Linked DNA regions of Diceros bicornis minor. The protein of the gene in region 3 interacts with the protein of the main gene of each other region in a pairwise test. Links are inferred from orthologs where the notes say so. Each region holds a gene or a part of one and is shown on either strand. Other genes may lie near its edges.

Evidence for each region.
Region 1: the proteins of PAK5 (region 3) and PSMF1 interact in binary tests that used the Homo sapiens proteins (3 or more experiments, as listed by UniProt). The two-hybrid records come from large-scale screens. The link is inferred for Diceros bicornis minor from reciprocal best matches to the Homo sapiens genes PAK5 and PSMF1.
Region 2: the proteins of PAK5 (region 3) and INKA1 interact in binary tests that used the Homo sapiens proteins (3 or more experiments, as listed by UniProt). The two-hybrid records come from large-scale screens. The link is inferred for Diceros bicornis minor from reciprocal best matches to the Homo sapiens genes PAK5 and INKA1.
Region 4: the proteins of PAK5 (region 3) and CCNG1 interact in binary tests that used the Homo sapiens proteins (3 or more experiments, as listed by UniProt). The two-hybrid records come from large-scale screens. The link is inferred for Diceros bicornis minor from reciprocal best matches to the Homo sapiens genes PAK5 and CCNG1.

What each region holds. Positions count from the first base shown.
Region 1 is NC_080758.1:29,187,332-29,194,741, reverse strand, and holds the start of PSMF1 (proteasome inhibitor PI31 subunit), read right to left. Parts: upstream 3,017-7,410; 5' UTR 2,883-3,016; coding exon 2,754-2,882; intron 1-2,753. UniProt on the Homo sapiens protein: Plays an important role in control of proteasome function. Inhibits the hydrolysis of protein and peptide substrates by the 20S proteasome. Also inhibits the activation of the proteasome by the proteasome regulatory proteins PA700 and PA28.
Region 2 is NC_080741.1:50,922,914-50,929,141, reverse strand, and holds INKA1 (PAK4-inhibitor INKA1), read right to left. Parts: upstream 2,290-6,228; 5' UTR 2,151-2,289; coding exon 2,100-2,150; intron 1,363-2,099; coding exon 574-1,362; 3' UTR 502-573; downstream 1-501. Other genes in the region: UBA7 (ubiquitin-like modifier-activating enzyme 7), read left to right, coding at 146-275. UniProt on the Homo sapiens protein: Inhibitor of the serine/threonine-protein kinase PAK4. Acts by binding PAK4 in a substrate-like manner, inhibiting the protein kinase activity.
Region 3 is NC_080758.1:37,440,843-37,448,502, forward strand, and holds the start of PAK5 (serine/threonine-protein kinase PAK 5), read right to left. Parts: upstream 3,002-7,660; 5' UTR 2,859-3,001; intron 1-2,858.
Region 4 is NC_080740.1:78,342,700-78,350,424, reverse strand, and holds the start of CCNG1 (cyclin-G1), read right to left. Parts: upstream 3,003-7,725; 5' UTR 2,807-3,002; intron 1,680-2,806; coding exon 1,419-1,679; intron 1-1,418. UniProt on the Homo sapiens protein: May play a role in growth regulation. Is associated with G2/M phase arrest in response to DNA damage. May be an intermediate by which p53 mediates its role as an inhibitor of cellular proliferation.

The DNA.
Region 1 (7,410 bases), about 8.3 Mb from region 3:
TTTTATGTACAACTCCCTTGTACCAGAGGAGACAAAACCAAAGAGAAAAGCAAACGATTCAGCTTTCCATTTAACTGTCAATATACTATATGATCAAGTATACACTTTCAGGACCTTTCTCTCTCTCTTATCACCCTCAAAAGGGTGGGGAGCAGGAGGTGGCTGGAGGGGCAACATAAACATCCTCTGAGCTTGGTAAACACTATTGGTCTCAGGCCAGAAAAATAAAACCCTCTCTTAAATAAATTACTAGGAAAGATGCCTCTCCAAACAGCTTCTACTCTGAGTGAAAGTAGACTCGGCAGAAGCGAGAGGAGGACAAGTGCAACCTGAGCTCCCGTGGCACCTAAGAGAACGGGCAGAGAGGCAAAACTACACTCCAGTGTGCAGTACAAGCACCCACCCCCTTAGAGGGCATGCATGATTTAGCACTGGGGTGGACAGATGGACAGAGGGCAATGCCTTTCAAAACCCTCATCCCCACTCTGTGGCCTCCCCTGGAGCCAGCATCTTTTTCTGGCCTGCATCAACTCAACACGTGGCCCCATGAACAGAGTAGAATTAGATGGACCTTTGGGAATCAGCCAAGGATCTTTTATTTATTTTTTTAAACCAGTATTAAAATAAGATCGTATTCTTTCTACATATTTCACCTGAAAACTTTTGGGCCAGGAGTATATGGCAAAGGGATGATGCCAGCTGGAAGGAGGCAACGACCTATATGAACCGATGTCCCTAAGCTATCAAAGTGATTCAGACAGAGTTGCTGTTGCTGACAGGATGTGTGAGGGGACGAGCAGTGGGAGCAGATGTGCAGTGTTGATGTATCTGTGGAGTGGGAAGAAGCGAAGGGAGTTGCGCAGGCCCTGTGTAACAAGTTCCTGTTCTGGAGGAAAGGTTCCGACAGTGTGTCCGAGTAGAAATAGCTACTTGGGAGTAAATAAGGTGAGGTACATGAGGAGGGGCAGAGAGCAGGGCAGACCTGGCAGATCTGAAGGACAGGGCAAGGGGCAGGGGGTGCTGAGGGCCGATGGGGGAGCTCCAAGGTCAGGACCAAGTCTTACTCGCCTCTCCAATCCCACTTCCCCCTGCACCACCCTACACACCAGCCTCCTGGGAGAAGTTCCCAGGAAGAGCTGAAATGAAATGACCGGGGCAAATGAAAGAGCTGCTAAAGAGGAGAAAGCTGGAGTGGGCAAGTGAGGAGAGATGGGTTTCTGAGGGGAGACTATGCACTGAAAGGGGAAGCCTGACACTTGTGAGCGGGGCCCGACTCTACCTGGTGCCAAGGTCTGAAATGCTGAAGGGCAAGGTAAGTGGAAGAAACGGTTCCTGCTTGCAGGTGTGTGTGCAAGGCTGGCCTTTCTTTTCCAGCCTCATCTCCAGGCCTAGAGTCCACGTGCGGGATGAAGTAAGAGTGAGCCTAGAGGTGGGGACGGGGGATGCTAAGTGTGTACCTGGGGTCCCAGCGAGATAACTTGAGGTCTGAAAAAAAGAAGCCAGAAATCCATGACAGTTCTTGTGCTTCCAATTCCCGTTGGTGGGCAGAAGTGAGAGGGGTGTGGTGGTCTTGGTCACTAGTTCTCAGGGACAGAGGAAGGGGGCCGTGGGGGGTGGGGGGAGTACTTAGCTCTAAGTGCTCAGGATGTGTAAACCGTGTTTGAGGAGGGATCCTACAGCTCTGTGTCGACAGGAAAAATGAAGACTCTGGATACATATCTGAGAAACTGAAAAAGGATTACGGAATTTGAGAACTGAAGCAATCAGAGAAGAGAGGAAGGTTAAAATTTCACTGTAAGATGCAAGGGGTGAGGTGCTCCGCTCCCCAGAGCTGGTCCAGGTTCTGAGAGTAAGAAGAGAGCGACAGTGAGGGGCAGCTCGGAGTCCCGAGCGTGTGTCGGGGGGAGCTGGCTGGGAGCATCTTTTCTCTGACGGAGCAGAAGGCAAATGAAGGGGCAGGCCCAGTTCCCCCAGGAATCTCACGTGTAGGCCGCTGTGCAGGGCGCGAGTCACAGGGAAGGGGCAGGGGAGACGGAACAATGCTACAGCAAAGAACCGGCGAGATGGGCTGGGCCCAGCATCCTGGGGCTCTGCGGGGAGGACAACAGGACCCCAGCTGCGAGAGGCAGAGCCCGAGGACGGGAGCGCAGAAGGGGCTCGTCTTGCAGGGACAGGCTGGGGGAGGAACGCGTACCCGGCGCTCACACCCAGGGTGTGCGTGTGCGGAAGGCGGGGATGGCAGCGCTGAGCGGTCTGCGGGGCGCGCCCCTTCAGTCCAGGGTGCCGAGTGCGAGCTCTCCGGGCCGTGCTGAGTGCAGGAAGGGGCCTGACCGGGGCTGCGCAGATCAAAGCTCACCCTACCTCTGTGCCTGGACCCGGACACCCGGTGGAGGCTCGAGGGCAGCAGGAGGGCAGGACTGAGTCCCCCCAACCCCTGTGCGGGAAGGGGCTGGGCGGGCGTTCAGGCAGCCGAGGAGCGCGCAGGGGAGCTGCACGCTGCCTCGGGGCCCGGCCCACCCGACCCTGGCCGGGGAGGCCGCCAGCCGTGCCGGGGCGAGCTTCCGTCCTCGGGTTTTCATACCACGCTGCGCCCGAGGAGCGCCCCCGACCCGCAGACAGACGCGCGGTGTCCGGACCCCGGGCCCGGACTCGGGAGGGGGCCGGGCGCTCCGCACCGGGCTGCGGGCCTGCGGGCTCCTGGTCTGCGCAGAAGACGCCGCGCCCCTCCCCGGCCCGGCCGCCCCGCGGCGTACCTGGTCGCCGGCGCCCAGGCCGCAGTAGCCGTGCGTCACCACCTCCCAGTGCAGGAAGCAGACGAGCGCGTCCTGCGCGCAGGTGATGGCCGGCGCCACCGACGCGAACAGCACCTCCAAGCCCGCCATGCGCGCCCCCGGCCTCTGCGGGCGGAGGAAAGAGGGAGAGAGAGCGGTGAGCCGACGTGCCCTCAAAGCACTGAAGACGCCGCTCCGCTACCCGGCTGGTCCTGGCCGCGCCTCCACCAGCGGCCAAAATGGAGACGCCCAGGGCTGGGGGCGCGGCCGCCGGAAGTAGCTCCAAGCTCCCGCACAGCGCGCGAGCGCGCCCGGCTGGAAGCCCCGCGCGGCGCTTAAAGGTTCCGCCAGGCAGCGCGCGGGGGTTCCGAGCTGGACTCCGGTTTTGTCCGGTAGCTGGCAGGACCGCTACGCGCAGGGGTTCCGCCTTCGAGCAGAGCCCGCCTTGTTCTGAGCCAGAGATTCCCAGGTGCAGAATGGGGTGGGCGTGTGCTGGTGGGGGAAGAGGTTATGAAATATGGCTAAAACATATTCATAATAACAGTTGGGACTTAGGCAGTGCCTGCTACGTGTCACATTATTCTAAATGCTTTATTTGTAGTCATTTATTTACTTCTCAGGACCCAACCCTATGAAGTTGGTGTTAATGATAGCCGCATTTTACAGATGGGTAAACAGAGGCACAGAGGGGTAGATTTGACCTAGATGACACAGTCAGCCAGTGAGTGGCAGCGGTGGTACTGGAACCTAGCGGTCTGGCTCCTAGGACAACGTTTATTAAATGTTTGTTGTGTGTTAGATCCTGTGCCAAAACCTTTACATCACCCTATCAACAACTCTACGAGGTGTGTTCCGTTGACATCTCCATTTTGGGGATAACAAAACCAGCTCAGGGTTGAAGCCACTTGCCACGAGAAGACACAGCTGCCGACCGCACAGCGAGAGCTCCTGATCCACTACCAAATGTCAATCATTTATTGGCCTGTCTCCTGCACGATTTTTGCTGCCTATTGCTTCTTCAACAAGTGTTTTGAAATCCACGTATCATTTTTACTCAAATAAATTTAGTTTTCCCATCCCAGTCAAAACCTCTCTGCAAGCCACCATTATCTCTCGCTTGGATGTCTGCGCCAACCTCTGGACTGCCCTACTCCATCTCTGTCTCCCTGAAGTCTGTTCTACACTCTGCAACTAGAGATTCTGTTAGAACACCTGCCAGATCACATCCCTCCTCTGCTCAAAACCTCCCGGCGCTGCCATCACACTCAAAGGAAAGGTGAAGTCCTCCCCATGGTCTGCAGGAACCTGCATATGGTCTGCACCGCTCCTCCCCACCCCCACCTCTCTCCATCTCCTCCAACTCTCCCCTCATCCTCTGCACCGTTGGCTGCTATAACCTTGCCTCCTCTCTGCGCTCACACACACATCTAATCCAACAGCAAAGCTAGTCAACCTTACCCTCCAAATATATTCTGAATCTGACCACTTCCTACCTCTTCTGCTGCCTCCACCCTGGTCTGATCCTCTAGCATCTCATACTTGGACTATTGCAGTAGTTCCCTAACCAGTCTCCCTCTTCCACATGTTCTGTTCTCCAGGCCTTCACATGTACTGCTGTCTCTGCCTGGAATGCTCTTTCCCCAATTGTCTGCGTGGTTTGCTCCTTCATTTTGTGACTCCTTCCCTCACCTCTTACCAGCCTCAGCAAAGGGCTTCCCTGACACCCCATCCACAATAACCTCCTCCACTCTTTAACCCCGTACCCTGCTTTCTTTCCTGCAAAGCATTAATCATAACCTGATACTAATTAGGTATTTATTTGGTTGTTTATGACTATCTTCCTGCTAGACTGTGACAAGGGAGCAGGGACCCTGTCTGTGTTGTGCACAAGTATTCCTGAGTACCTTCCTGGCTCAATATATACTTATTTGATAAGTATTTAATATTGAATGAATGAATGAATGAATGAATGCTGAATGAGTGAATTATTGGCCTGGGCTCAACGCAATTGGGCTAGTCTCACTCCTTTGCAGTCCACCACTCACTTTGTTAGCTGGCCCTGTACCTCTCCAAATTTTGTGTTTCTGGGGTTCCCCTGGAGTGCCCAGATTCTTGGACCCATCTCTAGAGATTCTAGCTGAGCAAGTCTGAGGTGGAATGCAGGTATGTTGACCACACTCTGGGTGATGCTAGAGCTGGTGGCCACGGAACTCCTGAGATATCCTGTCTGTGGCATAGAGCTATTTGCCCTTTCCACAGTGAAGCTCTGCACTTGCAGGAATCCCATCTTTTGCTTGCTCTGTCCCTTCTGCTTGCAGTCCTTCCCCAGTTATTGAAAATTCTAACCTATTCATTCATCATTCATGCAGTCATTCACTAAACCTCCACAGGCTGGGTTGCCATGGATAGTGATGCAGGCTGTGCACTGCACAAAGCTGGCCGCCCAGTGGCAGCCCCATTCCCAAGTGTCTACTGTAAGACAAGCCCAGATGAACAAGCCGTAGTTCCTGCCCCTATGGAGCTCACTGTCTAGTGGTAAAAATATTACAAACAAAGGTAATCCAGTGTAAAAACTGCCATGACAGAGGGGCTCTAGGAGGTCTGTGCAAGTCCAGAGGAGGCATCTAATTCACGCTGGGGGTCAGGGAGGGCTTCTTGGAGAAAGAGATTCCCGACCGCACTGAACCTTAATGGAAGGTTGGGAGTGAACTGAAGAATAAAAGGTGTTCCAGAGAAAGGGAACAGCATATGCAAAGGCCCGGAGGTGTGAAATGCGCTAGTACTGTGTGATTAGAGGGTCAGTGCTGCCTCCTGAGTGAGGCTTTCCCCCATTTACTCTGCCCACAATCAGCTACTCTCTCCTCAGTGCCGTTGGCACTAGCGGGGTGCCAAGGGGCGGGCACGGGACAGCAAGGGCTATCAGCCTCAGTGGGGAGGAGAATTTTGTCATCGAAGATGATTAGAATGGCTGGTTCATGGAGATAATAGAAAGCAGACTCGCGGTTGGTCAGCTTTATCACTGCTTTTCAGTTTTTACAGCAATGCACCCCTCATTGCCTGCACCCAGGCTGACGGCTCCCCCACCCCCAGCCCTTGCTTCAGCCACTGCTTCGCATACAATTGGTCATAGCTCGAATCTCACAGAACCTTGGCTCCCTGTTATAGCATTATTCACCATACTGTTATACATCATCCCTGTGGTAGCTTGGGTTCCCTCAGGAGTCAGCGTGAGACAAGGATTTGAGTGGTTTATTTGGGAGCTGATTCCAGGACATAGCAGGAAGGGAGTGGGAAGTGAGACTGGGAGGGAGAGGCAGCCAATGGGTGGCGTGTGATCAAGCCAGTTACCTCTGGGCACCCGGAGCTCCATCTTGTCTGGCAGCTCTGGGAGACACGTGTGTCAGAGTTGCCCCAGTTGAGGGTGAGGGCATTGCTATTTTTTCACTCACTCTCTGGATGAGGGCTGCTTCTGTGGGCATGAAAAGCCCTCAGGCAGAGAACTGCAGAGTTTAGAGAAAGTAGTCCTTGGTGCTTGGAGGTGACTGCTATGGAGTGAGCGAGGCACCGTGGTGTCTGCTGTGGCCCCCACTAATGGTGAGCCACGCCTTTACATGCTGTGGCCAAGAACCAGCGTGGAGTAGGCCCCAGCATCTATGTATTGAAAGAACAAGGTGAGCTCTGTCTCTTGCACAAGGCTCTGAGTCCCCTGAGAGCGGGACTGTTCCGTCCACCCTGGACCCCAGGGTCATCCATGGATGGGAACAAATGGGAGGATCCCCTGGGGCTGGAGGTTGTCCATGTCCTGCCCCTGGTCCATCCAGCACTTTCTGTGGACTTACCTCCGTCAACAGGAGTCTCAGTTGTCCCTGTGAGGCCTGTGAGTGGCTGAGAAGGCAAGCAGGTGGAAGATGCCTCCCTAGCTGGGCCCCCACCGCCTGGGCAGCTCAGAGCCCATGCCAGAGATGAGGGCCCAGGATGGTGGAAAGGATGTGGTAGGTGGTGGCAGCCACCAGTTCCTGGTTGCCGAGTGACAGCAATGTGGGTATTCCAAGCTCTCTGGAGACTGTCTCCCTAGAAACTGTAAAGAGGTGAGCTGAGGGGCAGGGCCCAGATGGACACTGAGGTGGAATAATTCACCACTGGAGTCCTTCTCTCCTTTAGCCTAGCATCACCCCAACCACTTCACTTCCTCCAGGAAGTCCTCCATGATTACTACTGTTCAATGCTAACTGGAACCCAAGACTTCCCATTCCCCTTGTTAGTGGAGTGCCCAGCATATCTGACACATGGAGGAGAGGACTCTTTTTTAAAAAAAAATATATTGTAATTTTAATATCACTCAGTTTTTTGAAAGATTTTTTTATTGTGGCAAAATATGCACAACATAAAATTTAACCATCTTAAAGTGTACAGTTCAGTGGTATTAAGTAAATTCACATTGTTGTGCAATCACCACCACCACCCATCTTCAAAACACTTCATCTTGCAAAACTGAAACTCTGTACCCGTTAAACAATAACTCCCCATTCCCCCCTCCTCCCGATCCCTGGCAGCTACCCTTCTACTTTCTGTCTCTTCGCAATTTGACTACTCTAGGTAGCTCCTTTCAGCGGAATCATACAGTATTTGTCATTTTGTG
Region 2 (6,228 bases), on a different chromosome or scaffold from region 3:
GATGTTTCCTGTCTTGAGCTGCTCCTGCTCCCGGCTTGGGCTCCTTATGGACCATCAGCACCCTCTAGTCCATGCCAAGTCACTTCTGCCTGCCACTGCTCACCTACTCAGTCTTCCTCAACCTCCCTCCCCCCTATGCCACCAGGGTGACAGAACTGGTGCAGCAGGTGACAGGCCGAGTGCCTAAGCCTAGGCAGCAGGTGCTGGTACTGGAGCTCAGCTGTGAGGGTGAGGAGGAGGACATGACCTTCCCACCCCTGCACTACGAGCTGTGACAAGCAGCAGCCCAATCACCCAGCTCTTTCAAGCCCTGCATCCTGAGTCCACAATAAGCACTCAATAAATGCTGGCTGAAAGAAGGCGTAAGTGGAGAGGATGGATGATGGAACATGGGGCAGGCACATGGGTGTGACATGAGCATGACAGGGACCCCTGCAGGGAGGGAAAAGGCTCTTTAGATTCGCCTGCCTGGGCTGTGCCTTACAGGGCTGGGGCCGCCTCCTGGAGCCTCAGGGCTATGGAACCAGGACAGTCCAAAGAAAGGTCTTTATTGTCCCAGGCTGGAGGGCAGGGTCAGAGGTAGCTGATGACATCACTGCAGATGATGGGCTGGCGACTGCGGCAGCTCATGAGGGCTGCAAAGCGTGAGACATCTGCTGGCAGTTCGGGTTCTGAGCGAGGTGGGCATGACAGTCGCTTTCCCGCCATGGCTGCCCGGCGTGCCCTGGCCAGCTGGCGCCGCAGCTGCTCAGAGAGGCCAAGCAGAAACTGGGGGGGCCGAGCACGGGCACGGGGCCCACCCGCATCGTCTTCCTCACCCACTGCCTCAGGCAGCTCCATCCAGTTGTGCACCAAGTCAGCAAAGCAGTTGTCCCCCAGCACAAGGGGCTGGCGGCTGCGACCTCTGCTCAGCAACGCTGCTGTCCAGTCCTCAGCTTCCAGCCCCCGCCAATGCTCCAGGCAGGTGTCTGGGGTGGACTTGGGCCGTGGTCGGTGAGCAGGTGGTGCACTGGCCACAGGGGCCCCTCTGGGCAGGGGCATGCCACTGGCCGAGAGGCTCTGTCTATGGGGGGGCCATGCTGGGGGTGCTGGGTGCTGGAGTATGGGCAGCTCTTCCTCTCTCCATGTGCTGCCTGACACCTCCGAGAAGCCAGAGTCCCAGTCTAGGGCATGCTCCCTGGGGCCCCCCAAGGCTACACTCCTGCCTCGTGTCACCACAGCTTCTTCTTCCTCTTCTTCCACACAACAGACCGAGTTCTCTTCCAAGCCATCTGAGGCCTTGAGCTGCACACCTGGGCCACATTTGGGGGGTGGCAGAAGAGGGCCAGGCATTGGTGGTGAGCCTGTGTCCCGGCCACACAGCTGCAGAGAAAGAGAGGGCAGAAGTGGGAGGGGCAGTGCTTGTCACCTCTGCCTGCCTGGCAAGCCCAATCCCCAAACAGAAGGCCCAGGAGGGCTGGATAGGCCTGCAGGCCTGGGCAGCAAGGCCTCTAGTGTGCACAGGGCTGGCACGGGGGTGCTGGCACACGAAGCTCGTGTGGCTCCCATAAGCCGACCTGGTGGCAGTCTGGCAGGCTGCAGCATGCAGAGCCGGGCAAGTCGGTACCGGCCACCAGGGTGGAAGGCAGGGTTGCCGGCATGCATGGGGAAGTAGGTCCTACTCAGGGCTGGGGGGGCATCCCGTGCCTCTTGAGGGATTCGGCTCCCCAAAGCCCACAGAGTCTTTCAGAGAAGGACGGAGCACTTGCCAGGTGAGGGGTAAAGAAAGGAGGTACAGGACAGCCTGAGGTAGGGGGCAGCGCCAGCACTTCTTTAGTTCCTCGCAGCCCCCTGCTCCGGGCCAAAAGAAGTTTCTCCCCCGCAACTCCCTCCGCCGCCCCGGCAGCACGGCCAGCTGGGCGGCTGTTACTTGATGCCCAGCGCAGCTCCCAAGCGTCCGAAACCCGACGCGGGCCATCTGGGCCATTTGCACCGCCCCGCCCTCATCCTGCCTTGGATAGGCACTCGGGACGGCCCCCCACCCGTGTGTCGTTCCGGCCGGACGGCAGCCGAGCACCGTACACACGTCCTCACGAGCCACAACCGCTCCCCAGCCTCACCAGTTCCCAGCGGAGCTGGCTCAGGAAGCTGTCAAGCCGAGCGCTGTGCATGCCTGTGCCGGAGCCCCCGCCAGGCCTGCCGGTTCTTGGAACTCCAGCGGGAGCGGCGCGGAGAGGGCCTGGCTAGCCGGCCAGCGGCGCCCTGCCCTCCGCCTTGCTCCGCCGCTCCGTGAGCTCCGTAGCTTCCGCCGCCGCCGCCGCCCCAACATCTGGCAGCCGCGCCGCGCCCCTGGCGCCGCGGCCAATAGGGCCGGGGCGGGGCTAAGGTGGCCCCGCCCCTCGGGACCCGCAGGGTGGGAGAGCCCAACGCCGGCTCCTCACTCGGCTCCAGCTCTGGGGGGAGGGGCGGGACTGTAGCGGGAAGCCCGGCGGGGTCCGGCCCCGGACTCCCCGACGCCCCGGGCGGTTGAACTGACTCTGGGTTCGCAGCATGACTCAGGACAAGTCGCTTCCCTGCGGTAGCCTCAGCTTCCGTATTTTTCCCAGGATAGAAATGCAGCCCCTCCCGCAGGGGCCCCGCGAGCGCGCGGGTACCCTGGCTGCGCCCAAGCGCGGGCAGAGCGCCCCCAGTCTTCGGACCCGGTAGTGCTGTGGCCCACTCGGCGCCGACACACTGAATCCGCTCCTGGAGCCGGCCTCGACAATCCCTGGAAGTGACGCGAGGGATCCAGCCCTTCTGAGGACTCCAGCCGCGAGGCACCTCGCTGCTGCACAGGAGAGAGGCCTCAGCCAAGGCCCAGCCCACGCCCTCTCCACCCCGAGTCTGGGCCGAACTAGGCGGGGCCGCCCTCTAGTGGGGAGCGCGCGGTTAGCCGCGATTGCCGCGGCGGCATCCGCATCCCCTCTGCCAGGCACCACAGGCCCACTGAGTGCAGGGTGTTAGAGCGGCGTTCTCTGGCCGGAATGGTCAGAGCCTGTTCCCTGAGGCCGCTCCACGATCGGAGGCTAGGTTCAAGGATACAGTCTAACTGGAGACAGACTAGACAAGTCAGTAGACAGAAAAATACCGGGGAACGAGGGTGATGGGCTAGTTTGGGAGAAGGGACTCTCAGAGGATGTGGCATTCTGCATGGGATCTGGATGACCCATCATGGGGAGATCAAGAAGAGGGGCATTCTAGGCAGAGGCATCAACCAGTTAAAGGCCCTGAAAGGACAGGAACTGGACAGGGCTTAACCTAAAGAAGGCCCAGGTGTTTACGATGATAATAATTGGGAGAGTGGTGGCCCCCTGGCTTAGCGGTTAGGTGCCCATGCTCCGTTACTGGGGGCCCGGGTTTGGATCCCTGGGGGCGCACGCTGACGCACCGCTTGTATGGCCATGCTGAGGCAGCATCTCACATACAGCAACTAGAAGGATGTGCAACTATGACATACAACTATCTACTGGCACCTTGGGGAGAAAAAGGGGAAAAAAGGAGGAGGATTGGCAATAGTTGTTAGCTCAGGGCCGGTCTTCCACAGCAAAAAGAGGAGGATTGGCATGGATGTTAGCTCAGGGCTGATCTTCCTCACAAAAAAAATAATAATAATAATAATTGGGGGAGTGAAGAGGTCAGCAAAACCAGGCTCCTAGCAGCCTTAGAAAGGAATATGGGGTTTTGTTCTTGGTGTGAGGGGGAGCACTGGGGGCTTTTGAGCAGGGAATTACCTAGGCTGCCTCCTGTTGAGATAATCCCAGCTGCTTTAGGAGAACTACTCTGTAATCAGAGTGGAGGCTCCTGCCCTCATCCAGCAAGGGAGGGGAGGGCCTGGGCCTGGGTGGGGCTGGTGAACAGAAGGGGGTCACTTTGGGGTATGTTTTGGAGCTAAAAATCAAGCCTTGCTGATGCATGAATATGGGTAGGGAAAGGGAAGCATCAAGCACAGCTCCTAGATTCCTGGCCTGAACAACTGGTCTGATGGAATTGCCATGAATTGGTCCATGAAAGACTGGAAAAGAGTGGATTTGGGGAGGAAAATCAAGTGATCATTTGTGGACATGTGACCCTTGTATTGCCTGTTAGACATCCAAGAGGAGATGCGGGGTCAGCCACTGGATGTGTGACTCTGGAGTTTGGGAGAGAGATCAGCACTGAAGCCTTGGATCTTGGAGGCAAAGCGAGTGGATGTTATTTAAGACCATGCTCCTGGATGTGACGGGGGAGGTGAGTTTAGACAGAGGAAGGCAGCAGTCAGGACTGAGCCCTGGAACATTGCACCGGCTAGAGGTAGGGAAGTTGTAGCAGAACCAGCAAAGGAGCTGAGCAGGAGCAGCCAGGGAGGTGGGAGGAAACGGAGAGAGTGTGGGCACTTAGGAGCCAAGGGGAACAAGCATCAAACACCACTGAGGAGGTGAGAGTGGAGAATGCACTGCTGAATTGGGCAGTATGCTGGTCTCTGAGGACTCTGACAAGGGCAGTTTCATGGAGAGAGGAATAAGCTTGACTGCAGTGGGTGGAAGAGAAAGTGAGAGGTAAAGAACTGGAGAGAGTAAGTGTAGACAACTTTTTAAAAATTGACATATAACATAAATACAATGATTGTCAACTCTCAAAGCTACAGCTCAATAAGTGTTAAAATCTGTAGACACTTGTGCAGCTGTCACCCAGATCAAGATACTGTATAGAATATCTCCAGCTGCTCCAGGAGGCCACTTTGTGCCCCCTCCAGTTGATATCCCCAAAGATAACCACTATTTTGATTTCTGTCACCAAGGATTCCTTTTGCTTGTTGAATGTAGACAATTTTTGAGAGATTTTGTTGATGGTTGGACACATATTTTATAAGTAGATAATATTCTAATGGGGGAGTGGGAAACTAGAGTTTGGACTTTATGAGGTAGCAGGTCCTGGGCCCAATTTTCCTGGTGCTGTGCTTGCTCTGTCTCCAAGGACTGCATGACCAAGACTTCTCTGAGCCTCAGTTTCCCCATCTGAAGCTTGATTCTTCTCTCTTCACATCTCCTTAAGGTTATAGTAATGAATGGGGGAATTCATTGGGAGCAGTGAAAAAATGGGGTTTTCCAGGCCTCTTGATGCCTGTCTGAAGCCTAGAGCTGTCACTAGGGATGGGCGGAGCTAAAATCTGGTAGGCCCAGGAGTCCCACCTGCCCAGCTGTGTTTGAGCAATTGACCTGGCAACTGGGTGGGCCTGACAAACATGTCTGGCCTTCCAGAGTCTCCTCTGCTGTTTGTATCTTCAGGCCACTATGGTGCTGCTGAGGGCCCTGGCGCTTCTTGCTCTGGTTGTCTCTGGTGAGGAGCTGGTAGGTGGGGGAAACTCCAGTTCTCACCTCCCTCCCCCCACTCCACAGTGGGGTAGAGACCTGACCCTTCTCAGATAAGCTATCATGGAGGGCGGGGTCTGGAAGAGAGCCAGGAAAGGGCAAAGATCTGAACCCTGACCCGCATTCCTTATCTTGGCTGCTTCCTCAACCAAATCCTCACTCCCAGTCTGTGAAATGAGCTGACCCATGGTTGGACGTGGGGGACAAGGAAGTGCTTTGGCTGCTTGGCCCCAAGATGGGCAGAAGGGCAGGACTATGCTCATGTGTGTGGTTCTATGAGCATGGGGGGCCTCCAGCCTGAATCATCTCTTCCTTACGGACTTCCGCTGCCTGCCCTGGTTCATAAAAGTCTCTGAGAGCCAGGGACCTGGTACCATCCTTCTGTCTTCCCCCTTCAACTGCTCTTCTCACATGCCCACCCTGGAGTTGCTCCATGTGCAGCCATCCACCACCTTCTTCAACCCACCCAGCTTGACCAGGTGGCAGGAGATCTATGCGGGTGAGGTAGGGTCATGGGCACAGCTGCGGACCATGGGGAAACAAGGGCAGAACTTAAATTAACAAAGCCAGAGGTGGTGTAGGGGGATGGAGAGCCTAGGCCCCACATGGCACTGCCCACCTGCCACAGGTGACCTTGAGCACCTTGGCCCGGCTGGATGCCCTGGTGGTGAACCACTATGAGCTCCAGCTGCAGTTCACATGTGGCAACCATGTGATGGAGAGACTGCTCTCTGTGGATGTGCAGCGGGACCCTGGCCATATCCAGTGTGCTGGCCGATTTGCCAGCCCAGGTAAGGCCAGGGGTAGCAGGCAGGGGGTGGCCAGGTATGGCCTGAACAGAGCCTCCCTGACCTCCCCTCTG
Region 3 (7,660 bases):
TAAGAGAGAGTAGAAAGGTGTTAAGACTGGGGTATTTTTGTTGCTGTTGTCATTTTTGTTGTCTAATTTGGTTTCCTGTTTGTTTGCACTGTGTTGGTGGGTTAGCAAAAAGGGATGAAGGCAACATTAACAACTCCATTTGGGACAGGGTATGTTTGGGACACCTGTATGAGACTGAGGTCCTAGATTATCTAGGTTTTCAGATAAGTGACATTTATATAAGTGAGGAACCTCTGAATGCTGCTCCTCCCTACCATGGTTGGGTATATAAAACCTCAAATAGGTTAGCTGGATTAAATAGCCTTTAAAGTCTTCTCTAAACCCATACTACTCTATCTCTACCTTCTGCTCATATGCTGACATCATATTAATGTTGTCATTAAACACAGATCATAAGGATGTTAGCTAACTGGGCTGAAGAATGTACCCCCCAAATTCAAGCCCTGCAAATGTGACCTTATTTGGAATTAGGGCCTTTGCAGATGTAATCAAGTTAAGACGAGATCATACTGAATTAGCATGGGCCCTAAATCATATGAATGGTGTCCTTATAAGAGGAGGGAACGTTGCCATGTGAAGATGGAGGCAGAGATTGGAATGATGCTGTCACTAGTCAAGGTACACCTGAGGCTAAGAGAAGCTGGAAGAGGCAAGAAAGATCCTCTCCTAGAGGCTTCGGAGGAAGCGTGGCCCTGCCAACACCTTGATTATGGACTTCTAGCCTCCAGGACCGTGAGAGAATAAATTTCTGTTGTTTTAAGCCACCTAGTTTTTGGTAATTTGTTATGGCAGCCCTAGGAAATTAATACAGTTGGGAAGATTAAATAAGATGATGTTTTTGAACCAGCTAGTGTAATACAGGGCACACAATATGCGTTCAATAAACATCCGTTTCCCTTCTTCTCATGATGGCCACCACCACTCTCCTGGTGGTTAGTATTATGAGTAATCCCCACACCTACCCATCTAGGTAGGTCTTACTATTCCTAGGCTTGTTTTACAGATGAGGAAACAGAGCCTTGGGAAAGTCAAATAGCTGGCCCAAGATCACAAAGCTACAAATGGAAGAGTCAGTTCAAACTCAGCTCTGTCTCGACACCGAGACACACCCTAGAACACCTGCTCTCACACCTGCAGCGTTTTAGCAGCCTCTGACAGGGTGAAGGAGAAGTACTGCTGAACAATGTTTTCAACGCCTGCAATTAAAACGCACACTTATTAACAAAATAACAAATTGCAGGGACTTCGTACAATCAGTCTCTACCCATGCACGCAGGAACACAAAAATTTTATTCTAAGACCAATGCTATCAATGAACTTGCCATCAACTTCTATTGCTTCCGTTAGCACCGCTTCTGCTTTGCACATATGTATTCCAAGTCAAGGTATTATCATCAGATTGGACATTTATGGCTTTAATTTACTTAAATGCATTTTCCTCAAGCATACCCCATTTCATTTTGATGATACTGACTCATTCTTGCCACCTAAGGAGACCATAAAAATAAATAGTGTAAGTACAAAGGGAAGTGTCTCTAAACTTCATAGTCACAGATGTCCATGCTTTAAATTATAAAGCAGAAAGTAAAAGTATATTCTAAATTTATCTTCCCTCCCTAACTCAGTGAGTTGGACTGCTGAATATAACAGATAGACAAATACAAGGTGGCAGAGCCCTTATAAGGCGGTGTCAGTTTCATAGAAGTCTAGTGTAGCAGGACTTCTAAAGAGCCTCTTGTCCATCTGGACTCAGGTAAGAGAGAGTCTACATGCCACCAAACCTCAGAAGAGAAAAGGATGCGCTGAGAGGGTCTGTGAGTCACCTAAGACCCTATGGCTATTTCTTGGTAGAACCCTGTGGCATGCCACGTTTCCCCATTTCCCCCCAAAGTGTATTCTGCCTTCCAAGCTGTCATCAACTATTAATGATGACACTTTCCTCTGGCTTTGTGCCAACTTCTCTTTTTCTTCATTACTCTGGCCGAAAAAAGACCACCACAGATAGCCCCAATGCTTCAAATTCTCTTAATCCATATCTCATGTTGAATTAACTGGGGTCCCATGATTAAAGCTCCAGATACACACACGGGGTTCAAGAAGGGCGAACACACTTCTCCGTCAAACTGGGCACCGATGATCCCTGGACTTTTCAAGTTTACCCTCCAGGAGGCCGACATCACGCAATTTTGACAAGAGTTTGGAATCGAGATCCTCTTCCACGCTCTGCCCACACCCATGCCCACGAGCAGAAGTTCTCTCTCTCCATTACAACCCACCACGCACACGCACACCCAAGCAAGTAACAAAGGAAAACATAGCCCCATAAAGGCTCAGCTATTGCATCTTCCAGTCCACACCTGCCAAGACACAAAAACCATACGAGAATCCTGCCCTGGCAATATGTCCAACACTCCTGGGCAGAAGCAGGCACCGTGGCACCCCCCGGCCGTGCGCGGCTGTATACACAAAGAACTGGTGCTGAGCTTGTAGCGGTCCAGGGGACCAGCGCGCTCGCAGGGCTGCTATCCGGGGTTCTCCTTCAAGCCCTCCCGCCCAGCAGAAAGGAACTATCCTTTATTTGACCCGTAGAGAACCCAGGCTGAATGGCAGCGCATGGCTGTGCGTGTGGCGGTGGTTGGGGGCGGGGGGCGGTCCCCGGATCCCTTCCCTCCAGCCAGCCGGTCCCCAGCCTTTGGCATCTCCTAGGAGATGCACAATTGCGCGCTGTCACAGATGTCCGCTTCGCATCCTCTCCCGGCAAAGCAAGATGCCCCGGGTCCCAGCCGTGCGCATCCCCGCAAGCGCCCCTCCGCGCGCGGATATCTACCCAGGCAGCCCCGCCAGGCGCGCCTGCCTACCTGGTGGCTGGCTGTCAGCGAAGCGGCGCTGCCTCATCCCCTTCCTCTCCTCCGCGGCTACATCGCTCGGAGCGCCATGTTCCCGGTCTCCCTGGGCGCACGCCGGGCAACTACTACGGGCTGGGTAGGGGCAAGGGGGGCGGGGGCCAAAGGGAGGGGGTGGGAGGCAGAGCCAAAGCTTTCTACTCTCCACCCAAGCCTCCCCCAGCTACTGAGCATGCCCAGCTGCCCGGCTTCGCCCCTAGGAGGACTTTCCATGAGCGCACGCAGCTGTTCCGGGTTTTTGTGGCAGCCGGCGGGAGGCAGGCAGTAGCAGCTGCGGGGGGTGAGGGTGGCGAGGGGGGGGGGCGGGGAGGGTCGGGGGAGTGTCTACGCTCCGCGGAGCCCTGAGCTGAAGAAGGCAGCCTTTTGCCAATCCAATCACACCTTCCCTCCGCCCTACCGGCGGGGAGCAGCTCCTGCGCGCCCCCTCCCCACATACTCCGGGTTTGCAGAAATTTTGTGCAGGACCATCGCAAGCCTGAGCTTTGCTTTGGAGGAGAGCAAAGAGAGGGAGGGGGCGGAGCTGAGAAGCAGATTCGTCCGCAAGCCTCATTGCTACCACCTGGACCCGTGCTTCTCAAACTTTAATGTGCCCACCAATTAAAATGCAGATTCGGATTCAATTCGTGTGGCCTGGGCGCTGAGGTTCTACAAGCCAAACAAGCTCCCAGGTGATGCTGATGCTGCTGGTCCTCCGGCCACACTGAGTAGGAAGGAGCTACAGACCCCCCTCTGTGACCTCTGAGCGGCCGTCTTTCAATCAGCCAGCCCAGAAATGGACTCTGGCATCCACAGAGGGTCCTCCTGCCTACAGATGGTGTGGCAGCTAACAGTTGATAGTGTCCCCGGGGTTGCTGTGCCCGCCTTGGAAGGAATCTCAGTAGGGCTGGGCTCTGAGCATCCAGATTAATGGGCTACTTGCTGACTTAGAATTTGAGGCTTAGGGGTAGATGGATTCCTGGACCTCTCCATGCTCGCTTTGCTAGTTGGCTAGCAAACTAGTTGCTAGTTGAGCCTCTACTGAAGTCTCAACCAGTCTCCCTCGCAGTCCCCATGCCTTTCCTGGGCTGGGACAAAAACTCATCAAAGTGTCGATTTACTGTGCAAGTAGTGGTAAGGCTGGGCTTGCCCAATTAAGAAGGCTGACAGATGGTGGTTAAGAGTAGGGTATGTATGCACTAAGAAATGACAGAGCTTTCTGATGAGTGATGTTTGGGCTGAAGCTTGCAATGATATCTTGTAGTTCATCTTTAAATCCGTCAGTTGTCCACTCCCTTCCCAATCCTGGAAGGCTCTAGCATTGTCCAGAATATTCACCGTCCACCCTATAGTAGAGAGACATTCACAAAACCAGTCATGAGCTGTCAACCTTGGAAATGAAGTCGTCCCACCCTTATCTGTCCTTAGCTGCCCCCACAATAGCTTCAGGAGCTAGTAATACGGTATCTGATCCCATAACTAGATAACAGATTGAAAATAAGGCTTTGTATTGATTGGTACCCCGTTATACTTAATAACTCTAAACAGTTTTCTAGTTAATGGTACAATATTTGTCATTCCCCTCTTGCTTGTTTTCCATTCATTCAGTACCCTCAATATAGTAGCTGCCATATGAAAACAGGAACCATAGGATAAGTGGATGATTACTTTTCTCCCTCAATACTGTTATATACAAAGGAGAAATATGTCCTGGTATATCATACCCTGTTTGTCTGTTTAAAGGAATAGGAGTCTCTAAATCCATCTCTTTATTCTCTAAGCCGCTCACATAGCCCTGACTACCCATCCACTAGCCCCACTACCACTCCTAACATTATTTGCATAAATATTTCTGTTTTTTACTTCCTTATATGTGTGCTTACACAGATGCAAAAGCCAGAAAATATTTCTATAGAGGTGTTGTTTATTTGTGACTGATTATTATCAATTAAAATTTTCTTTTGAAACACTGAACTTTAATCACTTAAAATATCTTTGCTGTTATATGTAAAGCTTGTGTTTGTGTGGTTGTTTCTACTGGTTAATTACTATGACTATTGTTAGTTGCCTCAAATTCATTTAGGAGTTATGGAAGGTAAATATTATAAATGAATAATAATACTATTTCTGTAAATACTGTGCTGCATTAAGTCCTAGGGGTTTTCTTTTTATATAATGTCATTTCTTGAGCATTTAGCAGGCAGGATGTTGATTAAGGACCAACCCCTGTGGGTGTGAGATACAGGAAGCAGGAGTGGGCAGAGGTAGAAGTGAAGCTATGACACAGGCCAGCGACAGTCTTCGCCAGCCCTCCAGAGAGCTCTGGAGCTGGGATGACCCTTCAGACTTGTCCCGAGTTGTCGAGTCCTTTCTATCCTAACATTAATCATTGAGTGTGAGCTGCCTTGGAAGGGGCTTGAGACTAGGCAGCTCTCTGAAGCTGAGGCAGTGCCTGAGGAGAGAACAGGTCAAGGCCTTCTGCCAGGAGGACTCCCTGTAGCTGGGGTAACAGGCCCTTCACTTAGGGGGTCTTGGTAATACATTACTTTCCACTACACTAATACATTTATTGAATACAACACTTTTTAATTCATAATGTAGGACTGACTGTACTGATTTGTCAGAGGCATTCAAAACCTTTGTGTTTAAATAAGTAGTAGACTTTCTCCATGGCTCAGAGATTTAAAAGTTGGAAAATAACCTGAAATCAGCAATTGGGAGTTGTTGGAGAAGGTCGTTGACAGGACATGACTGCCGGTTGACCCTTGAGCTGAACCCAAGCAATTAGAGGCTCCTCATCCCCTCCCCTGTCCTTGGAATTCTGCCCACCATTCCCACAGTAGGAGTCAGTTTCAAGGACACAACCTTGAGAGAGCAATGTGTTGTTGAGACCATCTGGACGGTATATGTGACTGAACCCAGTCAAGGCCTCTATATAAACTTTTAAGATTCTGGCAGGCAGGTATGGAGATCTACTCATCTTGCCCCTGGTATGTAAGTTTCCTTGCTTATTAAACCTGCCACCTACCAATCTGGAGTGCTCTGCCTCTTTCTTTGGTCTCTCCTTGCCCTCCATGTATGGGGGGACAGTTTCAGATTCCACTCAGGAAGCTCCCAAGTTTGCGAACCAACAGGAGTACATTATCTACTTAGGTATCTGGCTATACACATTTTTGTATGTGAAGTGGTTAATTATGACCTCTTGAGCCCGTATATTTTCCTTCTCTGACATTTAAGACATGATTTTATCTGCTGTCAAAATCTATTTGCGATTTGTAATTTTGTTTCGTTTTGTGAGGAAGATCAGCCCTGTACTAACATCTGATGCCAATTCTCCTCTTTTTTGCTGAGGAAGATTGCCCTGAGATAACATCTGTGCTCATCTTCCTCTACTTTACATGGGACACTGCCACAGCATGGCTTGATAAGTGGTGCGTCGGTGCTCACCCAGGATCCGAACCTGCGAACCCCAGGCCCCCGAACCGGAGCATGTGCACTTAACCACTGCGCCACTGGGCCAGCCCTGCAATTTGTAATTTTGAAGGGGAAAATAACTTCTCCTGTAAGATCAGGAACAAGGCAAGGATGCCCACTTTTGCCACTTCTATTCTTCATAGTATTGGAAGTTCTAGGGAGAGCAATTAGACAAGAAAAATAAATAAATAAAAGGCACCCAACTGCAAAGGCAGAAGTAAAATTATCTCTGTTTGCAGAAAATGTGATCTCTATATGTAGAAAACCCTAAAGATTCCACACACACACAAAAATTGTTAGAACTAATAAATGAATTCAGCAAAGTTGCAGGTACAAAATCAACACACAAAAATCAATTGCATTTCTATACACTAACAATGAAAAATCTAAAAATTAGGAAAGCAATTTCATTTTCAATAGTATGAAATATAATAAAATACTTAAGAATTAATTTAACCAAGGAGGTGAAAGACTTGTACACTGAAAACTATGAAACATTGTTGAAAGAAATTAAAGCAGACCTATATAAATGGACAAACATCCCACCTTCATGGATTAGAAGACTTAATATTGTTAAGATGCCAGTACTACTAAAAGCACTCTACAGATTCAATGCAATCCCTAGAAAAATCTCAGTAACGTTTTTTTCAGGAATAGAAAAATCTATCCTAAAATTCATATGGAATCTCAAAGGACCAGAATAGCCAAAACAATCTTGAAAAAGAAGAACAAAGCTGGAGGACTCCCACTTCCTGATTTCAAAACTTACTATTAAGCTGCAGTAATCAAAACAGTGTGGAAATGGCATAAAAACAAACATAAAGACCAATGGAAGGCCGGTCCCGTGGCTTAGCGGTTAAGTGTGCACACTCTGCTGCTGGCGGCCCGGGGCGTGCACTGATGCACCGCTTCTCTGGCCATGCTGAGGCCGCGTTCCACATACAGCAACTAGAAGGATGTGCAACTATGGCATACAGCTATCTACTGGGGCTTTGGGGGGAAAATAAATAAATAAAAAAAAAAAAAAAAAAAAAAAAAAGACCAATGGAGCCCAGAAATAAACTCTCACATATATGATCAAATGATTTTTGACATGGTGCCAAGACCATTTAATGGGGAAAGAACAGTCTTTTCAATAAATGGTGTTGGGAAAACTGGATATCCACTTAAAAAGACAGAAGTTAGACCCTTATCTTATACCATATACAGAAATTAACTTAAAATGGGCCAAATATCTAAACATAGAAACTAAAAATATAAAACTCTTGGAAGAAAACATAGGGCCAAATCATCATGAGGTTGGATAT
Region 4 (7,725 bases), on a different chromosome or scaffold from region 3:
TGCTGGGGCCAGGCCGGTGGCGCAGCGGTTAAGTACGTGTGCTCCGCTTCAGCAGCCCAGGGTTCGCAGGTTTGGATCCCGGGCACGCACTGATGCACCACTTGTCAAGCCATGCTGTGGCGGTGTCCCATATAAAGTCGAGGAAGATGGGCATGGATGTTAGCCCAGGGCCAATCTCCCTCAGCAAAAAAAAGAGGAGGATTGGCATCGGATGTTAGCTCAGGGCTGGTCTTCCTCACGCACACACAAAAAAGGTAGTGCCTGCACATGGTGTCTAAAGACTTGTTTAATTAGTCTGTTGAACAAGTTTCTTGAATCATCCAATTAAATATTGAGTTCCTTTTACAAAGGATTATATGATGCATTCTGTTAGGTACTGAGAACTAAAAGATGAGTTTCATTTTCATTGTCACATTATCTTATTATCCACCAACAACCATGGGCACACAGAGAAAGCTGATGTATTTTTTTTAAAAAAATGATTTATTAGTTGATGTACAGACTTTTATACACATCAAGCGTTTCTCTAAAGTATAGTTTCTTGGGGTCTATATGAGCTATATTGAGGCAATGACAATGATGTATTTTTGTTTTTTTTTTTTTTGGTGAGGAAGATTGGCCCTCAGCTACCATCTGTGGCCATCTTCCTCTATTTTGTGTGTGGGACGCCACCACAGCATGGCTTGATGAGTTGTAGGTCCATGCCCAGGATCCGAATCTGTGAATCCTGGGCCACCGAAGTGGAGTGTGCGAACTTAACCACTATGCCACAGGGCCAGCCCCAAAGCAGATGTATTTTTAACAGTTAGGCTCTGCAAGTTACACTGATGTCCTGCTTATCCAAGGTAGGGAAATAACTGTATAAATGCTCCTCCTTCAGAAGATTCTCTCTTTTCTACTGTATTCAGACTGAGGCTGGAAGTGCCAAGCATAAGCAAGACTTGAGTAGGTCTAAGGCTAAAACAATTAGAACTTTATATATGAGTAGAGATTAAGAAATATATACTGTAGGTAGGTGGTTGACAGCAAATATTTGTATATATATTCTCTAATACTTAACCATAATCTAGCATTCTGGCTCTAACACATTTCTTTAACTTTAAAAACAACAGTAAATAAATGAAAATACCCAACCTATCAAGAAAGATTTTTAAAAACAACAGCCAACTCTCTTACTGAGAGACTCTGATATTAGACTATTTTTCAGTGTCAAGTCTAATAAATGATGCATTACTCTTGATTGTAAGGAAGAGTATTCATCAATGCTGTAGTACACAGAATTAATATAAGGTTTTGGCTACCTGCTGAAAATAAAAAAGGTTAAATTTATGAATACCAGCCCAAAGCTAGCAATTCCATCTCCAAAACACATTGAGCTAAACTAAAAAATACTCGGAGTAATGTAGCTTTAAACATACCTTCATTTTGGACAGGAATCTGTCCAGTAAATTCACAGCTAGAGAAAATGTCTCTGTGTCGAAGCCAAAGAACTGAGTTAAACTAAGAAGGTCTTTTACTTCGAAGTCCCTCAGCCTTGCAGTCATTCGGAGGCCATTATCATGTGCAGATTCAATTAGTCTCAAGCCGCAGACCTTTGGCTGACATCTGGATTCCTGTTCCAACAGGACATTCAGCTGGTGTAGCAGTTTCTGAGAGTCAGTTGTCAGTACCTCTATCATCTATATATAGAACAAAGCCCAGAAAGGAGAGTGAGAATAGCCCTTCTTGTGTTGTATTCTGCCAAGTGCTTTATAACACAAAGTCTCCCCTCTGCCAATGCTGCTAGTGAATCTAAGTCATTGCAGAGTGCCATCTGTTATTCTCCCCCCAACACCCATTGGTCACATCCTAAATTGTGAGTTTCTAGAGGGCAGGAGCCATGACTTTTTAAAAAAAATTGCAAATCTTCAAGAAATACTTATTCAAGTCATTCACTGTCAAGCGATAACTATGACTAGATGCTGTAAGACAGGATACCAAAACTTTGCAATTAGATGGTAGTATGTATTCTGCCATGTATTGACAATGTGTTCAAGTTAGTTAATTTTTCTTAATCCTTAGTTCCTCATCTGTAAGGTGGGAATGAGGTTATCACCTACCTCATAGACTTGTGTGGAATAAATGAGATCCCCTAGGTGTAGAGCTTCGCACATATAGTAAGTGCCTAATAAACACTTGACAATAATAATGAACTTATTTCTACGTCTGTAAAATGAGCTATCTATATCTCTCTCTTTGAATGGCTATGTAGATTAAACAAGATAATTCATGTCGAGTTTAGCACAATGCTTGGCACACAGCCCTCGATAATTGTTAACTTTTACTGGTGTTAGGAAAGAAAGCTTAAAGGGTGCTGTGGGAGCATGCAGCGAAGGCGGGAGGCTAATGTAGCCTGCAAAATGAACCAGGGAGTTTCATTAATTTGAGACTGGGTATTACACATCTACTATGTTCCGGGCACAAGCTAAGCCCTAGATACACGACAGTCCCTTCCCACACCAACTGGAAGACAGGAAGGCAGGGGATCTTTAGGGTTGGGCGACGGAAGGGATGGGCAGATGAGGAGCCACTAACTTAACGGGTCCAACTCTTTCGCCCCTGGCCTGGTCCCTGGAACGGGGCTGGCCTGACTCTAAGACATCTCTGGAGGTCGGATCTGGCCCCGCCCTCCAGGCTCGGACTAGCCTGGACTTGTTGCTTACAGCAGCCGGAGGAAAAGGGCGCGGGCCAGACCTACCCCTCACCCCGCGCTCCCAACCCCGCTCCCTACCCGCACCCAGAGGTCAACCCCGCAGTCCCAGCTCACCGTGATCGCGGCTGTGGCTCCTCAGCGGTAAACACCCTCCCCGGGCCTGCTCTCACCTCACCCCACGATATCAGATCCGAGAGGCCTACGAGGCGAGGGGACTCGCGGGCAAGAGGGGAGAGGCCCGGGGAGGGGGGGAGCCGTCCTGGGTGGAGGTCTCCGCAGCGCCGCCGAGACGACACTGCCCTCCTCAGGGTCAGCTCGGAGCCGAAGGGGCCGCGCCTGACCGCCAGAGTAATATATCGGAGGGCGGGGCTCTCCCGCGAGAAGGGGAGGAGGGCATTTTGGCCGCTGATTGGTGTAGTTCTTTTGATGGATGGCTCCCTCGGCCCAAAGAGGGCTGGTTTGTAGAGGGAAGAAGTCCGGCCAATCAGCACACACTTCCCATTTTCCTGGAGTCAAATTCTCCGCCCCTTGAGGCCACGCCCCCTACCTCTAAGCTTCTCTGATTGGAGAATTTCCCAAAGTGTCTTCAATGAAGAGGAGGGCGAACTAAATGCTGCACGCGCCAACCCTGTCCCGGGTAAGGTCTCTGCTGGCTGCCGGATTGGCCAGAATATCGTTCCAGAATGTACTGGGAGTTTTTGTTCCGTGAGGTTTAGTAGAGTGGTTCTGCCGTCTCTTTCTAAAAATACAGTGGCTAGTTAAAAAAAAAAAGTAAAACCTTGATTTTTTGTTACAGATGGAGAAGTGGTCGATTTTCTGTGGTGTGGTTTATTAGAATCCAGAGGTTTCTCCCTGTGAGCTTTGGATATCAATTGCTTCTTGCCTTGTTTACTTTTTGTATAATTTATCAAAGAGTGGAGTTGGGCTACATAAATTCTTGGTTTTCTACCAATTTTCTGAATTTGGATTTTGAGAAAATTGAAATAGAAAAGTTGGTAGGTGTGTGGTTGACTTGTGAAGAGTATGTGGGCAAAATTGTAATGTCTGTGAATCTCAGTCCACAGATCCGTGTGTGAAGCAATATTATTCTTTTTATTTACTGTAAATGAACTTAATCTCTGATTGTGAGCCTATGCCAGGTTAGCGGGAACATGATTAGCTTGAAGCCCTCCCTCCCTCTCTCCCAGATTGTCACAAATGAGAAGGGCTTACACTAAAACGGCCTGAGGACTGGTGAGCAAGGAGTCAACTGATAGGAGTCCTGTCAGTTCTCATGGGTTGTACTGGGATGTCTCTGTTCTCATGACTTCTTCCTGGTTAGTGGCTATCTGAGCTTTGAAATAATGAAAATCTGAAAGATTTGCTGGCATCTCTGTTGTTTGCGCTGCCCTGTGCTTCCCTGTGGCAGTGCCACAGAACCAAGCCCTGAAATGGGGACAGAGTTGTAGGGAGAAAAAGTTAATATCTCAAAATAAGAGCCACATAATCAGGTCAGTTTGTCAAAGTGTGGCCTTTCAAATGGGGAAGGGGCCTTGGTCCTCCTTGAAAACAAACTTACCTAATGAATATAAATAGGCAATTTAAAACATTTAAAAATTACATATTACAATCATGTGTCAGTTTACAAATGTTCATGTTTCTCCTTTTGACTTTTAGTCACAAAATTAGGAATAGATACACATGTACTTGTTCATCAGTATCTGTTGAACACATATGTGCCAGTGGAGAACAAACTATACCCTCCCTGTCCTTGTGGAACATGTAGTCTTGTGGACAATTTAAACACATAGACTTTGGAATGAAACTGACTCATTTTCAAATCACAAACTACTAACTAGCTATGTGACTTTTAGCAAGTTATTAAATCATATTGTTTCCATTTTCTTTTCTCAAAAATACGAAGTAAAATACCTTATTCGTACAGTTATTGAGAGAATTAAATAATGGAAAGTAGATAAAGAGGTAGACACTGTGCCCAGAACACAGTAAATACTTGATAAATGGTAGCCTTTATTATTAAATTACTGACATTTCTTTTGAAATGTCTTGCTTAAACATATATTTGATTGTGTTTTCTCTGTTGTCAGATTTAGCCTTCTATTCTCAGCTTAGAATCAGAGTATTAGAATTGGTTATTTAACACTAAAAGTATCTAAATTGCATGTATTAATTTCTATACCTCATTTATACTTGAATTTTTCACATAAGGCTTTAGGTAATATATCATTGTTTATGTAATAAAAATGTTTCCCTCACATTAGGATCTTGCTATTACTTTTTATTAAAATCTGAAATTCCTACATGTTTCAAGAGCACTGAAGAAACATTGATTAGATATGAATCAAGTGAAATGGACAGTTTTTACCTTTTCTCCTTCCCCTCATCCCCACTATCATTTTTATTCCATAATATTAGACTACAGACTATCATTTAAATAATTTAAAAGACCTAATTAGCAAAATGTGCAAATGTAAGACTCAATTATATACTCTTGTAAAAGAAAGAAAATGAGCCGTTCATTAACTATGGTTTTATTTTTAAAGACTTGTAAATTTAGTAATGAGTTTCTACCAGGAATTTTTCAAATGACTGACTTCTACAGTATTTTCTAGGCTCAATGATATCTTCAGCTGCCATCTTCATACTTTCTTCTCCATCACTAGTTAAGTGTAGCAAGAACCACAGCTCAGAATAATGGCCTTAAGGCTGGGCAAAAATCCCAGGCTGTAGCGGGAAGATTTAATCATATTCTCTGCATTGTAGACTGCAGAAGTGCCTTTGAGCAACAAAAATTATAACAAGCAGGTATAATAGTGATGGCATGTCAAATGCTGCCCTGACTCATAGGGAAATTCCTAATTGGTTCTGTTTCTATCCTGGAGATTGGAGGAAGCTTTGCACCTCACCCTCTGTTCAAGCGCCCTGACAAATGTCCAGAACTTTTGGATGCAGGTTTGTCCAGCTGTGATGGCTGAAGGAAGTGAGGATCAAAAGGATCTCAGCAGAATCCCTTCTTCTCTACTTCTCGATCCTTTCCGGAACTATTTATTTCAGCCCCCACCACCTCCCCAACTGTTCTCTAGTGCACCTGCTCTGTCTTGTTCATTTGAAGAGAACTTGCTTGGCAGTGGCTTCTTTGAGTCTTTATTAGACTCTGGGACACCAGAGAAATTGTGTACAATCTGGGTGGTGGTGGGGATACAGGGAGAAGGATATATAGAAAACAGACTAGTAATGTCAGGTTTATCTTGCCATTCAGAGATTCTAGCTACCGCAGATAACGTGACCCCTTCCAGTTAATTGAGGTTTTACTATATTCTGTGAAAAACTAAACTTTTGATTTGTGAAGTAATCACTGCTATATAAAGGTACTGGGAGACACTGGGGTGAGACCCCTGATCTCTAGCGTTTAGTCTAATGGCCACAGACTGTTGAATGCAGGGCTCAAAGCCAAGATCTGCCAATAATAAAAAGTTTCCATTTGTTTTATAGTTCCCATGTGCCAGGCCACGTGCTGAACTTAAACACACATGATCTTATTTAGTCCTCTAACAACCCTGATGTTATTATTATTATCTTCAGAAATGAAGGATATCTTGTATATCTCCTGTTTAGTAACTACTATTTACTGTTTACTGAATATACTTTACACATAACTTGAATTTGGATTTTACTGCATTTTTAAAAAAAGTTTTTATTTTGGAACATTTCAAACTCACTACCCAGCTTCAATAATCATCAACATTTTGCTCATGGTACCTATTTACTTTCCGTTTGTCCAAATACTCAAGAAATATTTGTTAAGGACTTTCCAGGTGCCAGAACATTGTGTTTTATAATCCCAGATTAAAAATGTTACGGTGTTTGTGCCACAGGGTGGGTTGGCTATTGTTCTCTGTGAAGGTCAGGAGTTGGAAGGATCAGCTGGGTCATTGTCCTCCAGGTGCATCTCTTCTCTAGTCTGAAGCCCACGCTAAGGTGTCTCTGGGGTCTGTTGCTGTGATAGGAGAAGGTGGGAATGGGGAGGGATAACAATTCCCTTCCTTATTCAGGTTTGTGCCTAGGCGGCTAACCTTCCACCCCCAAAAGCACACACAGGCACGCAACTACACAGAAGGTTTTGACAGAGCTGAGAGTTGGGAAATGAAGTATTGCGCTTTCTAATCTAGCTTTTCTCTCTCTTTGCATTGTACTAGAATAAGGGACCTCATAGATCAGAACTTTTGTTCTCTAGGTTGGCCTTAAACTGGTGAAGACTTTGCTTACTTCAGGTCGCCACTTTCCTCGTTTCTTTAGCCTTTTAACTCTTTGACTCCTGATCTGAGTTTTGAAAGATTTAGCTAGGTAAAGAGGCTAGTGCAAAGGGCATTCCAGATGAAAGCAGCAGTATGTGCATGTGCAGAGGCACAGAGGAAAGAGAGAATAAGTGGATTTCTACAAATGAAGTATAGATTACCCCGGCTAACGCATGGAGGGAGGGTGTCTAGCGATGGTGGGGAGAGAAACACTTGCTCATCCTGAAGGGCCATGTATAACATTCTTGGAAGTTTGGACTTTATTCAACAGGCTTTGGGGAACCAACCATGGAATTTAAAGAGAATGCCACAATTGGACTTGTAATTTAGAGCGACCATTTGGCATCAGCCTGAAGATTGGAAAGAAGGGGCCAAAAGTGGAGTCAGGAAGACCAGTTAAGAGGCCATTCCTTTTCCCAGGAAAAAGTGACAAGATTGAACTGAGGGAGTTAGAATGGGAATGGAAAGAAGGAGATGGATTCAAGGGACCTTAGGAGGTAGAGCTGATGGATTGTGGCGTTTGATTAGATTTGATTCATTAGGGGATCAGGAAGAAGGAGGAGTTAGGAATAATGTTCAAATTTCTGGTTTAAGCAAAAGATTGAATGGAGATTCTGTTTCTGTCCTAAGATCAGGGAATATAGGAAAAAGACCAGGTTTGTGGGGGAAGCCTTTGAGCTAGACATGCCTGAGGGACTTCCGGGTGGAGATGTCCAAAGGCACCTACAGAAACATTTG